2 linked regions of the Notamacropus eugenii genome follow. The protein of the gene in region 1 interacts with the protein of each later gene in a pairwise test. Links are inferred from orthologs where the notes say so. Each region holds a gene or a part of one and is shown on either strand. Other genes may lie near its edges.

Evidence for each region.
Region 2: the proteins of CCDC102B (region 1) and LMO4 interact in binary tests that used the Homo sapiens proteins (3 or more experiments, as listed by UniProt). The two-hybrid records come from large-scale screens. The link is inferred for Notamacropus eugenii from reciprocal best matches to the Homo sapiens genes CCDC102B and LMO4.

Annotation. Positions count from the first base shown.
Region 1 is NC_092875.1:218,775,535-218,782,782, forward strand, and holds the start of CCDC102B (coiled-coil domain-containing protein 102B), read right to left. Parts: upstream 3,085-7,248; 5' UTR 2,973-3,084; intron 1-2,972. UniProt on the Homo sapiens protein: During interphase, forms fibers at the proximal ends of centrioles to maintain centrosome cohesion. During mitosis, dissociates from the centrosome following phosphorylation to allow centrosome separation. Contributes to CROCC/rootletin filament formation.
Region 2 is NC_092873.1:497,021,301-497,028,575, reverse strand, and holds the start of LMO4 (LIM domain transcription factor LMO4), read right to left. Parts: upstream 3,084-7,275; 5' UTR 2,948-3,083; intron 502-2,947; exon of another isoform or gene 348-501; intron 264-347; exon of another isoform or gene 94-263; intron 1-93. UniProt on the Homo sapiens protein: Transcription cofactor. Plays a role in establishing motor neuron identity, in concert with MNX1, acting, at least in part, to disrupt LDB1-LHX3 complexes thereby negatively modulating interneuron genes in motor neurons.

The sequences.
Region 1 (7,248 bases):
AAATCAGCTCCCGATAGATAAATGCCTACAGTGTATGGACAGAGAGTTGTTAAATGAAGAAAAAATTTCTATCAACTATATGGAAAAATCACAAATAGTAAAAAGAATGCAAGTTAAAATTACTATGAGGTTATACCTTCTTGGCTGCAATGACAAAAAAAGAAAAATGAAAATTATTAGGGAGGATATGAGAGAACAAGCAGACTAATCTACTTTTGGCAGCTTTTTGCCCTGACCATTTTAGAAAATAATTTGGAATTATACCCACAAAGCCACTAAATTATGTATACCTTTGACTGAATGATTTCACTACTAGGCATATATCCCAAAGACATAAAAGAAAGGGATCAAAGAGCAAGATATGAAAGCAAATTCAGAAGCTATCTAATCCAACTCCCTCATTTTATAGATGAGGGAACTAACACCCAGAAAAGTGTAATGATTTGCCCAAGGAAATACTAGCAGTAAGATTTGAACCCAGATCCTCTGATTTGGAACCATTGTACCATGCTGCAGGATCCACATATATAAAAAAATATTCAGAGTAGCCCTTTTTTGTAGCAAAGAACTGAAAATAAATGATTTGTCCATTCAATGGAAAATGGCCATACAAATGATGGTATCTGGATTAATGGAGTACTATTGGGCTATAAGAAATAATGAGAAGGATGGATTCAGAAAAATCTGGGAAGATATGCCTCTCCTAATACAGTGAAGTAAACAGAGCCAAGAAAATAATTGATATAAAGAGGCTAACACTGGAGGAAAGATAATTTTGAAAGACATAAGAATCCGGGTTAATGTCATGTCCAACCACAGCCTCAGAAGACCAGTGTTGAAATATTCTTCCCAGCTCTTGAAGGAATGGTTATGGACTAGAGATATAAGAATGTGACATAAATTTTCAGCTATGACCAATGGGTACATTTGTTTTATTTGACCACACTAACTTGTTAAAGGCAGAGGTTGTTTTTGGGAAGTGGAGAAAAATTTGAATCTCTCCTCTCCTGACCACTCCTGCCCCCCAAAAAAGAGGGGATATCAATGAATCCTTAAAGAGAAGGCACAGAGAAACGAATATGATTACGTTTTAGTTTCATATATAGTTCTTTTTTATTGTTCTCTGTAAAAGTATGCATATTTCTTGAGTACAGAATGACAAAAAAAAAAATTTTAAGGTATTGAAAGGGAGAAAAGACTGAAAGATTACAGAAGCAACTAATGTGAATATGAAAAACAAAATCACCACTGTTCAGAAGAAGTTAAATGAGTAACAGAAGATATAGTTTGTCCCCAGTGGAATCAGGATATAAACCCATATCTATCTTTGTCCTATTTTGGAAACTAGTGAAAAATTAAATGTGGAATTCAATTGACATAAGTGACATCTACATGGAAAATCCCATGCTCTTGTATAAAGAGTAGATCCATGCTTGCATGACATAATTGGGGGAAATGCCACTATTGTCTTTTGGGGCTCTAAAAACAATATATAAACATCATAAAGAATATTTAATAGCATCTTCATCTCAGGACTGAATCCAACCAATATTTATAGAGAAAGTAAAAATATAATCAATGAAATGGTTTGCTATTACACAGCAGGATAATCTCTAGAGATGTTTGGAAATAAACAATTTTAAGAGAATGGTGTACATTCTTCCCCTGATTTTCAAAATAAATATTTTTACTTTCTAATCAACAATATAAAAGCATGGGAAAACTGCATTGGTACTATATTAAAGGATATTCTCTTAAATTTAATGTTGTCATTGAAAATGTATGGGTAAGAATAATAGTATAGGAATAATTTTTTTCCAAACTAAGATCTTCTGTTGGCTGTAAAAGTATGGTGATTTACTTACGTGAAAAAAAAAAAAAAAACTTTTTTCTACTATGTTCTAAAGCAACTATCCTGGGATCAACAATCCTTTGATCTAATCCTTTGAATTCTGATATGTTCGTCAAAATTTAACTAGAAATTGAAATGCCCTGTCCCCAAAGAAAGATTATAAAATCTGATATGTGAGCTGATTTAGAGAGGTGAAAAAATCAGAATTGGTGTGAGAGTGGCTAGAGAGATAAAATAGAAGGATTAAGTTTTTGAAAGCCATCTGTTACTTACATTTATCCAGTAGCTAATCATGATTTTAGGAATTTCCTTTCTATTTGCCAAACCTACTTCACATTCACAGGTAATCAAAATTATGATCTTTTTTTTAAAGTAACAGAAAAAGTAAATCTCTCAAGTTGTCAAAGAAAGAATTTTTGTTGTTGTTGTCGAGACATAGCATTACTTCTCTGTGTAGTTATATTTTCCATTCCCTTAGTATGTCTATGTATTAACCTTTATTCTCTGTCCCTCTCTCTTCTACAATGGAATCCTGTATTTTCCATAAGGAAATTCAGATCACTTGTGGTTGCTCTGAAATGTAACATATCTCTTTTGATCACAGGACTTCCTGTCAACAATTACAGGAATTCAACAAAAGCTCTAGACATTTCCAAAGGACTTCAAGTGCATGAAGCATAAATCTATAGTTTTGATAAGCAATGTTACCTTTTTTACTTCTTATAGCATAAAATAAAGCCAACATTTCTGGTATTTCATTTTCATCTTTTACTACCAAAGTCTGTAAAGTAATATCTTCAGTTACTATCTATATTTGCATGCTAAAACCTTACCTGGTTATGATAACTATACAAATATTTTAAACACAGGAAATATATATGCTGTCAAGATAAACAGTACTAATAGTGGAAAAATGAAAAAAGAATGGGAAAAATACATCCAACTTAGCAAGAAACTCCAAATACGTCTGTTTCTTCCGTTTCACAGACCCACAGTAGTCTTGCTCTGTGTCTTATAACCAACTACTTTTTCCCTTGCTCAGAGAACAACTCATGCTCTACCCCAGCAGGAAAGTATAAAAATTAAATAGAAAAACCACAAGGTTATTAAACACTCTTACCCTCTGGACTTGCTGGGCTGCTCTTGCTTCTCAGTGTTACAGACACATGTGTAAACAACTGAATTTCCTGCATCCTTTCCTCATCTGTACAGCTCTGGGGTCTTGGCCAACAGGATTATATCCAGCATTAAGGCCACTCCACACTAACTCAGAAAGGATTCCCATTGGTTGTGAAGCTTTATCAAAGCCAATACCACAACAGACTCTTTGGATTTCAACTTAGCTAACCAAAATAAATTCTTTTTCTACTGTCCCCAAACTAAACGTGAGTTTCCTAAGCTTTCCTTCCCTACCTTTTCAAACTATATACTATGAACATATCAGGAAATCTAAACATAGTGTCTCATTAGCAAGTTTTCTACTTATTTTCATGTCATTATATTCAGCCAGTCACTATTTTAAATGCAACAAAAATGCCAAAAGAAAAACTACTAATGAACAAATCTGCAAAGGCAAGGCATAAACATCCTTTGTTATAATTAACAATAGAAAAATATCTGCAGTATTCAGTATATCACTGTAACTTGTTTTGTAAAAGAAACGCAGTAAATTTAACGAAATGTTCTGGTAAATAAATCACAGTTCAAGATCTCTGTCAGAACACTTGATCTCAGTCAGACTGATAAGAATTCTGAGTTTCCAAGTCAAGGACCCCCCAGTGAGAGAATTTTGGCTCTGAATCTCAGTGGTTTATCTGAGTGACTTTCCATTGACATGACTCAGCTGTCAAGATCCACTGAGGGAGTGGTGATGTTTTATCCCTTTAGGGATGCAAGTAAAAAAAATATTTCAAAGGTTAACTCTAACATTTCAAATTGTCCAGAGGAAAACTAAATGACAAAAACATCATATAACAGGAAAAAAAAATTTTCCTTCAATTATTTGTATTTTCTCTCCCTTTGGTTTAGAGGATTAATCTTTGTTATTAAATAATGTGATGTTATCTGCATCCTCTGGTGGCAGTAATTCAAATCAGATATGTACCCAATAGGCTACTAATTATACTGTCCTGGTCATATGAAAAGTTGAGAAAGAAACAGCTACAAGATTCCCATTGTATGGAAAGCCAGAATTAGATCCTACTGGATGTATCACAGACTCCACAACAAAGACAACTCACAATTGCTCTAAGAACAAAAAGAAACACCTATTTTGCTTTTCAAATCCTTATCATCTTTCCCTTCTGCTTTTTTTTCTAGCAGCAGAACAGGTTTTTTGACTCAAGTTCTTCTGAGAGCTCTGTCAATTTTTGTTTGGCTCTATGCACCCTATCTTCCAGATCAATGTTTTGCTTATATGGAGATCATACTTTCTTTTCATTTCAATAATAGCATTACTTTAATATTATTGCTTTTTGCTTGTCTTCTAGATTGTCCTTCACTATCATGTAGTTACATTCCCAATCAGTTATCCTCTCTAGTTTCTGTGTTGATATGTGTCACTGTGAATTCAAATTTTTCTATTTTGTTAATTATCTCTGCTGTATAGGACATAAATTCTTTTACAATTTTTATTTCTCTTTTAAACCACTCATGGACATGTGGGGAGGGTATATAATTGAGCTCTGCTTCAAGTCTATTGGTTGACTTGTACAACTCTGCTACTAGAGGGTGGGTGGGGAACATATGCTAACTGAAATTTGTTAGCGTCTAGAACTTCTTAGATTTAATTCACTGAATTTTTACCTCATTTGAGTTCTTGGTGTTCTCTCTTACTCATAATTCCTATTTCTGAAAGGTTAGAAAGATTATGAGAATCAGAGATTGCGTCTGCTCCTCCATTTTGCTAATCATATGACCTTGAAGTCGATCTGTCTATATCATTCTCATTCTGTCTCTGTCTCTGTTTCTGTCTTTGCGTGCGCTCTCTCTCTCCCTCCCTTCCTCTCTCCCTCCCTCTTTCTCTCTCTCTCTCTCTCTGTCTCTCTCTCTCTCTCTCTCTCTCTCTCTCTCTCTCTCTCTCTCTCTCTCTCTCTCTCTCTCTCTCTCTCAAAACAGGACCAGATTTAGGTGATCTAATTTTAAATCCCATTCCACCATTACATTGTTCCATAGCCTTGAGCAAATCATATATTCACCTAAGGCTCAGTTTCCTGATCTATAAAATGGAGTTAATTATATTTACAGAACCTTCTGTTCAATGAAGTTTTTGTAAGGAAAGCATATATTGTAAATTGTGAAATGCTACATAAATACTCACTGCAATTGTAGGTATTGAAAAGATGTGTAATGAATGAATGAATGAATTCAAAATGAATCATAGAATCATTAAGCCCACAAAACATTTCACACCTAATTTTTTAAAAAGTTATTTCTATTGATGACTTTTGTCTTTAGCTTCAAATCTATTTCTAAATATATTACTCACTCTCCCCACCCAGTAAACCACATATTATAATAAACACTTAAAAAAGCAAAGAAAAGTAGTTTAACCAAAGAAACCAATATATCAACAAAGTTTAGCATTATATGAAACACTGCACATTCATGTTCCTCCACCTCTCCAAGCATTTATTGAGTGATTTTTGTGCGAAGCACAATCTATGAGCTCCCACTTTTTTGCTAATTCTTCCTTTCTAAAAGAATGCTGCTGTGGTTTGCTTTTTTTTTTTTTTTTTTTTTTTTTGGTATATAAATGATCTATCTTCATACATCAATTTCCCTGGTATATGCTTTTTATACTGTCATAGCATATATGGGCCAAAGCACATATGGACACATTAATCACTTTTTAGTATAGTTCCTGATAGGATTCCAGAAAGATAACATCAATTAACAATTTTACTTTAGTGTGCCTGTATTTTTTCAGACCCTCTATCTTTTGTAATCTTCTCCAGTTTGCCAGCTATGTTTAATTCTTAAAATTCTTTGATTTTTATTCCTATCATTATTACTGATTTGTTAGTCTTTTTTATTTGTTTAATATTTTATTTTTTCCAATGCATGTAGAAATCATTTTTGACATTTTTTAAAATTTTGAGTTCCAGATGCTTTCACATTCTTCCTTCCTCCCCTCCAATCCGTCTGAGACAACAAACAATTTGATATGGGTTATACATGTCCAGTCATGAAAAACATATTCTCATATTAGTCATGTTGTAAAAGAAAACATAAACTCAAAAAAAAAAAAGAAAACACAATTTAAATATGCTTTGATATAGTACGTTTCAATCCACATTCAGACTCCATCGGTTCTTTCTTTGGAGGTGGATAGCATTTTCTATCACAAGTCTAGCAGAATTTTCTTGGATCTTTGTAATGCTGAGAGTAGCTAAATCTTTTACAACTATTGACACAATATTACTGTTGCTGTGTACAATGTTCTCCTGATTTTGCTCACTTCATTGTGCATGAAAATCTTTCCAGGTTTTTTTAAAGGATCCTGCTCATTATTTCTTATATGACAATAGTATTCCTAGTGCAACCGTATACTACAACTTATTCAGTCATTCCCCAATTGATGGGTTTCACCTCAATTTCCAATTCTTTGTCACTATAAAAAGAGCAACAATATTTTTATACACATAGGTCCTTTTACTTTTCATAAAAGTCTCTTTTAGGTACAGATCTAGTTGTAGTATTGATGGATCAAAGAATATGGGCAGTTTAATAGCAATTTGCAAATAGTTTCAAATTGCTCTCCAAAAATGGTTGGATCAATTTACAACTCCACTAACACTAATTACTGCCCTCATTTTCCCATATCATCTCAAACATTTATAATTTTCCTTCTCTATCATATTAGCCAATCTGATAGGTGTAAGGTGGTACCTCAGAGTTGTTTTAATTTGCATTTCTCTAATCAATAGTGATTTAGAATATCTTTTCACTTGACATAGATAGCTTTGATTTCTTCAACTAAAAGTCACCTCATCATATTCTTTGACCATTTATCAATTTGTGAATGACTTGTATTCTTATAAATTTGGCTAAGTTCTCTTTACATTTGAGAAATGAGATCTTTATCAGAGAAACTTGTTATATATAATTTTTTCCATTTTCTGATTTCCTTTTAATCATCTGCATTAGTTTTTGTTTGTACAAAACCTTTTTAATTTAGTGTAATCAAAATTATCCATTTTATAAACCATAATGTTCTCTATTTCTTGTTTGGTCACAAATTCTGCTCTTATCCATAAATCTGAGAGGTAAGGATTTGTTAAATTCTTTCAATTAGCTGTTAATAATTTGAAATTCTTTTCAAAATCTTTTGTTGCAACCTTTAATGAATTATTTAATTGAGGAATTGTTCTAAGATATTTTTATGTTGACTATTA
Region 2 (7,275 bases), on another chromosome or scaffold:
AAATGTGCTTCCCCCAAAGGGCTGCTGCTGAGTAGGGGACAGGCTGGGGAGGTAAGGTCAGTGGTATAGGGCAAAGAAGGAAGGGGCACAAACCAGACCCTCTTTCCAAAGCACTGTTCTCAGGGCTCGGTTCCGAATCCAAGAGGCTCCCTCGGAACTTTGCTGAGCAGCCCACACTGACAACTTCAGCTTGGCGACTGTCAAAGTCTTCTAGCGAGAGAGGCTCTGCAGTGCGATTCCCTCCTTCCCACCCACCCACTCTCAACTCCCCGCCCCCAGCCTCCGCCTATCTCCCCCCACCCCCACCTCGGCACGCATCTAGCCTCTAGCAAATGAGGGTCATTTACCCCAGCCCCAGCAGCGGAGGCAGGAGGACGAGCAGCAGCAGTGGGCCGAGCCCAGGCTTCCCACCCCCCGCAGCCCCCTACCCCTATATCATGCCCAACTCTGGGAAGTGCAGCTGGAGCTCAAGTTGGGAACACTTCAGTTTCCTGAGAGGGAGGGAGAGAGAGAGGGAGCAGAGGGAAATAGAAGGAGTGGGGGTGGGAGGGGAAAGGGGGATGGAGGATGGGAGTGGGGGGAAAGGGAGAGAGAGGGAAACAGTGCAGTGTGTAAAGTTGCGAAACTGGTTTTTCGGATTTTTTAAACAGCACCTTTCACATGCCATTGTGGTGACGGCCATCTCCCATTATTGTTCCAAATCTCATTTCATTCTGAAGATCAATGAGTGTTTTCTCTGGGTTTTCAGGACACCGGCCAGAATAATAGATCATTGAACTTTAGGACGCCTGTTAACTTCCTATACAAACACACTCCACTTTTGTCTCGCTAATCTGCCCTTGATCAGTAATTTAAATGCTAAAGCTTTGTTCCATAAAAAAAAGGGGGGGGGTAGGGAGAGAAGGAGGAGGAGGGAAGAACTTTGGGGATAATCTGAGAACGATCAAGGGATACACTAGTTAAATTCGAGCTAGCCAGGCTGTCACCAAAAACTGCTTTTAAAAAAATTCCCCCACACTTTCTAAATGAATGCCACAAGAGAGGCAGCAACTGGGGGAATAATATAGGAATCAATTTATAAAGCTTAGACTAAACCGATTAATTTGTGGCCTCCGATCCCGAGTCCAATAAACTCCTAGTGTTCCTCCAGTCACTTATACTATAAAAAGATCAAGTTATTTACTGCCAATTAAGCAGCATGTTTTTGTCTTTGTCCTTTGTAAGCCGAGTGTGTGTACTCATACCAAGGCTTTGGGCCATCTCCTAAAGGCATTCAGACTGATACCTCCGAAGAAAGACGGCGAACTTTTTTTTGCCTGCCCCTGGCCCAACTTGGTAGCTGGCAAGAGGGGAGGGCACCAAGCCCCAAGTCCCCGGGTTCCTAAAATAGGCCGATTTTTAAACACATTTCCTCCGAAAGCGTCCCTGAACGTGTCTCTAGTGACCACACAATAAACCAGAAAAAGAACTCCACCAATTAAGCTGTAACAAAACCCCGAGACTTTGGAAACAGGACCACTCTAAAACCCATTAGCATTGCATTTATCCGAATGCATCATACCTTTATGTAAATTGATTTATCTGATGCATTTACTCGAGGAATTGCTTTTTGTTACAATTTCAGCCCTAACCCAAATGAATCTGCATTTCCTGCCCAGAGTCTTAAAAATGTTTCCCTTTACGTTCTAATCGCTTTGAATTCCTTTAAAAGGGGGGCGGGGGGGAGAGGGGGAGAGAAGAGAGAGAGAGACAGAGACAGAGACAGAGACAGAGACAGAGAGACGGGGAGAGATTCCATGCTGCTTATCCTGAATCTTTGCTGTGAAGTAAACATATGTATGTAAATATATGTGTATGTATGTGTGTATATTCTCTATAATGTGTGTATTACATATGTGTATGTACATATATAATTTTTTAAAGGAAACATTACACTGAGCAGAAGCATCCAGTAACCCCATTAGCTAAAGCTCTTAAGGACAAGCAATACCTTAATGCTGATTAAATCTAAAAGAGATGATGAATCAAGGACTGACCAGAAACTGACTCCCCAGATAACTAAGGACGGGCCCTCATCAAGTTTCATTTAGAGTTGGAAAAAAAAAAAGAAAAGCTTTTAAGTTAAATAGGCTTATATTCTAGTAATTACATAGCCGAGCAATTTAGGTCCTGGGATAGAGTCAGTGAAACAGAAAGCAGAACTGGCAGCTAGAGGCAAAATAAGCCCCCCTTTAACAACGTCTCTGGTGTTTTTTAATGGAGACCAAGGGAGGGACAGGCGTAGGGCTGGCAATTTGTAGTACAAAAATGGATGCTTAATTCATGTCTTGATTTTAATTAGGTGATTCACCGGATTTCTCCTGGATTGAAACAAAAGACTTATAAGCCAAAAGGAATTTTTTTCTTTAAAAAAAAAGACACCAATACAAAAACCCTGCCCACTTTGATCCTTTCTGCCACTGTTTCAAAAATAGTGTTTACTGGGGGGCGAAGGGGGGTTGGGGGAGGAGGGAGGCAAGACTATTTTTCCCCACCTCAATTCATAACCGAAACAGGCAAAGCCTTTCACTTCTGGGCTGGAAAGGCGCTCCCCCCCTTCCCCCCCCAAGCCCTCCTCTTCGAACAAACCCTTTTGTAAGCAGGGACCGCTACAAAGCTGACGGCCCTGGTGCTCGCCTGCCTGCCGGCCTGCCGGCCTCCTGCTCGGTCCACCCGCCTGCCAGCCCGCCCCCCAGCCTGCCTTCCTCTAGTTTCAGACTCCCTCATTATCTAAGCCGACGTATTGTTTACTTGCAATTTGGGACGGGGAAGGGAAAGCAGCCAAAGAAAACAACCACGGTACAGGACACCTCCCCCCCTTCCCGGTCTCCGGGCCACCAGCACCACCAACCCCCAGCCCTCCCCCCCACCTCCCGCCCCATCTCCTCTCCCCAGCAAGTCCGCTTACCTGTTTTTCCCCTATATTGCAAAAAGACGGCGGCGGCGGCGGCGAGATCTCCGCGGAGCCGCTCGCTCGGCTTCCCCGGGCTGCTGGACTGATGGAGCTGGATGGATAGATGGATGGGAGGAAGGAGGAGGGAGGGAGGGAGCGAGTTCTTGCAGAAGTGGAGTGGAGGGGGGAGGAGGAGGGGTGGGACAAGGTAATCTTTTTTCTTTCTTTCTTTTTTTTTAATGCGCGGCTCTATTGGTGGGTCGGGTGCCCCCCAGCGAAGTGGCCGCCCGGCCCCGGAGCGGAGGGTTCCGTCTCAGTCCTTCTCTCTCTCCTCCTCCTCCAGCTTCGCCCGAGCAGCTGCAAGGCTGGCTGGCTGGCTGGCTCTCGGGCCCCGCGAGCAGCTCGGCTTCAGGCGCGGCGGCGGCGACTGCTGCAGTCGCTGCTGCAAGTTTGGCAATGTGGCTTCACTTTGTATATTCGGCACCCCCCCCCCCGCCCTCCCGGCCCCCCCTTCCTCCTCCTCCTTCTCCTCCTCCTTCCTTCCCTCCCTCGCTCGCTCTGGTCTGGCGGAGGCGGCGGCGATTGCTGAGATCCAGAAAGCGGCGGCGGCGGCAGCAGCGGAAACAACGAGAGCCCGGGCGGGCGCTGGGCGCTGGGCGGGCGGGCAGGCGGAGTCCCTCCAGGCCACTCAGAGCAGCCTTCCGCAGGAGTGCCAGCACGGGCTGCGGCGCGAGCGGAGCCGGGGCCAAGCCCGACAGCCGGGTCGAGGCCGGGCTGCTGCCGCTGTCCGCGCTGCCGCTGCTGCCGCCGCCGCTGCCCGGCTCCAAGGCGGCGCTGGCCTCTCGCCCGCTCGCGCTCTCCCTCCGCGGCTCTTACACATGTGTTACTGACAGAGCAGAATCCCAACTACTCTCCAGCTCAGCCGCCGACGTCAGCGGCCCTCAGCCACTGCGCGGCCGGATTGTTCAGGCGGAATAATAAAACCTGCCAATCCGGGGGAGGACAAAGGGATGACTGAAACCGGAGGCGGGGGGGAGGGAGGAAAGAGGGAGAGGAGGAAAAGAAGTGGAGGGAACCTGGGGGAAAGGAGAGGGCAGCGGCAGGTGGGGAAGCACGGCGGCGGCAGCCCGCAGGGACCCCCGCTGCTGCCCGCCGCTGCCCCTGCCTCCGCAGGACTCTCCCTTGCGTGTCCGAGCCAGGGACGCTTCCTAGTTCTCAAGGATTTCGGGGACATCCCCAGTCTAGGCCCTGGGAAAACTTTGGCATCTCTCACAGAAGACACTCCCGTACCCCCCTAAATGGGTGAAGGGGGCGTCCTCAAGTTCCAATCCAGCAGTTTTGCTGTTGTCCCAGGAGCAAGGGACGGGTGGGGTTCACACACACACACACACACACACACACACTCACAAAGTTGTTAGCTCTGATGTTTGGGGTTCAGAAACTTAAAGGGAAGTTTTGTTAATGGGGGGAAAACAGCAATCATCTTGCTTTTCCCTGCGAAATTTTCAGAGGGGAGACTTTTTTTTTAATCTCCCTTGACCGAGACATAAACCAACGCACTTAGTAGACTCTCAGGGAACACTCAGTGATGATCCTGGGCTCATAGACAAAGCTGAAGAAATCTGATGGAGGCGTTAACTGGGCATGCCCTCCTTTGTCAGCTTGCTCTGAGGAGAAGAGGAACCCATTTCTCCCAGGCATCCAGAAGCAAAGTTTTGAACAATAAGGCCAGATTAGCAATCATGCATGCTTTGGAGAATAAGGAAGCTCACTTTCAACGTAAATCATATGTTTGGAGGCAATGTTCTCAGCATGTTAGAGCCCAGGAACACCCACAGTCAAAGAACCTGCAAGTGGGTCTCTCTTCCCTCTACCTCCTGCTGTCAGCTTCTAAAGTTTCAACTCAGGATTCAACTTTAAGCTGCAAATGAGGTAATAAAAGTCCTATTTGCTGGGCCAATATTAGGTCTAATTGTTAGTAGAAAGTTATGGAGGGATGGTCCTGGAAAATAGCTGTGCAAGGACAAAGGCCTTTTGGTAGCTGCGGTTTAGTAGATGAGTCTGGGCCTTGGTGTCAGACAACTGGGTCTGACTCCTGAGCCTACAGTTCTTAAGTGATAGTAGACAAGGCCTCTTAACCTCTCTGTATCTCAGTTTCTGATAGGACTAGGTGATGGTAATTTCCCTTTGGACTATAACCTCTTATCATCCTTTTAAGGAAATGGAATGAAATCAGCCCTGTGGGATAAATTTATCTCTTCCATACTCTGTGCTGATGAGAAGACAAGAAGACTGGCCAAAGAACCCAGTTAGAAGGGCTCCCTCTTCACAGGCTGTGATTTTACTGTCTGCAAGTTTTACAGATTTTCAAAATTCAGGCTTTCAAAGAAATAGCAATAATATCTGAATGGTGACTATGCACCCAAAATAGCAGAAAATGGTTTAAAATAAACAACTTCAGTATCCAACATTTCGAGCTAAAGGGGAAGTTATTTGGTTCAACTTTTTCATTTTAGAGATGAGGAGTCTGAGACCCAGAAAAGTGCTCCAAACCATGCACCGTGAAGGTTGGAGTCAGAATTCACACTCAGGTCCTAAGAATCCCCATCTGGCATACTTTGCATTGTAGTATATTGCAAAGTATACAGAATGTTCTGCTAGATATCTAAATTAACATTCTTCAATTAACTTAAAATATCACAATGCTGAAATTTGTCCATCAGTATCAAAACTTGTAATATTCTTAATTCTTTCACTTTGGGTTGGAACTGTACTAAGGAATTCCCTCAGGTTCGCAACCTCTCTGTAATTGACACTCTTACAAGAGGAAGAAGTTAGTCCATCAGTTAACAAACATTTATTAAGAGCTTACTATGTGCCTGGCACTGTGCTAAGTTAAGTGCTCAGAATAGAAAGAAATGCAAATGCTTGGTCCCTGCCCTCAAAAAGTTCACATTGTAATGAGACAAGACAATACATTAAAATCTATATACAGAAATTGGAGGAACTTGGATAGGCTTACATAGCCAGTATGCGTCAGAGGTGGGACAGTGAGGCCAGGTCTTGCCATGGTTCACTCTGCCATGGTTATGACAGATAGGAATGTGATCTTAAAGGATTCAATAGTGTAGAAATATAAGACAGCGCCTTAAAATCTCCAAACCAAAACCTCCACTCAGTCTGTGATTATCTGATTATGAGAAGGCTCAGACAAAACCAAACAGAAGAGAGAATTCTATGCACATCGAAGTAGCAGATCTTAATTTCTTAACTCAATTTTTCCCATGTAAATAATTTACCAGCATAAAAGTGAAATAACACCAGTTCATGATGGGGGGTACAATTAAATTTAGGCCTATAATGAAAAGCACATTTCAGGTATATTTCTCAAGCAAAATGCCCTTCATCGAGGTGAGAATGAAGCTAGTCCTATCCAGGGCTAAGGGCAAGCTAGGCTACTGGCAAGGCCCATGTAGATGTGGATTCTTCTGTGATTCTTCAAGCAAGCTAAAAGAGGCCTCCTGGTTTGCTCCTGGATTAAAGGATGTTCAAACCCTCTGGTCTGAGGAGTAATATCTTCACCGACCATGTGGAGGGAAGTGTTTTTACCAGCGATGTTTGTTTGCTGAGGTTGTGGTTGCATAAATACAAAAGAGATAATGGTTAACGATGTCTCTTCAGAGGCATCTGGAGTAAATCAGTACACGGTAATCAAAATCCAGGTGTACTTTAACCAGAGCGCCACCTCTGGGTAATCTTTATTTCTGCAGGTTTAGCCTTCACATGGACTTTCTGATCTATTCTAGAGGAGCTATAAAGGTTTAGAATCTGAAAGGCCTTTCTGGCTATTTTTCTTAGTGATGCTGCAGAAAAATTAAACACACATACACACAGAAGTGTTGTTCTTTCAAAGCAGGGAAGGTTTATCTATGAGGAAATCTCAAAATTCAAAATGATGGAAAATAATATCTACAACAATAATATCTATAGATCTAATTCATTTATTAAATTAATTATAATCTAAAGAATTACAATTTATTTCAATGATTATAGTATTAATTATGATATAAATTATTATTTTTTATAAGTTATTAAATAATTGAGAGGTAGTCTGGCATAGTAGATAAAATGCTAGATCTACAGTTAGGAAGCCCTGGGTTCCAGTCCTGCCTTACATGTTTATTAAAAATTGGACCATGAGCAAGTAAGTCAGTTAGTCTAAGACTAAGCTATATAGAAGTCATTGGTTCTGGGGAAAGATATCTTGCATGAACAGAACCACACTTATTTGACAGCATAAAAGTAATTATGCATCATCAATGCATGTAAGTCAGGATGATACC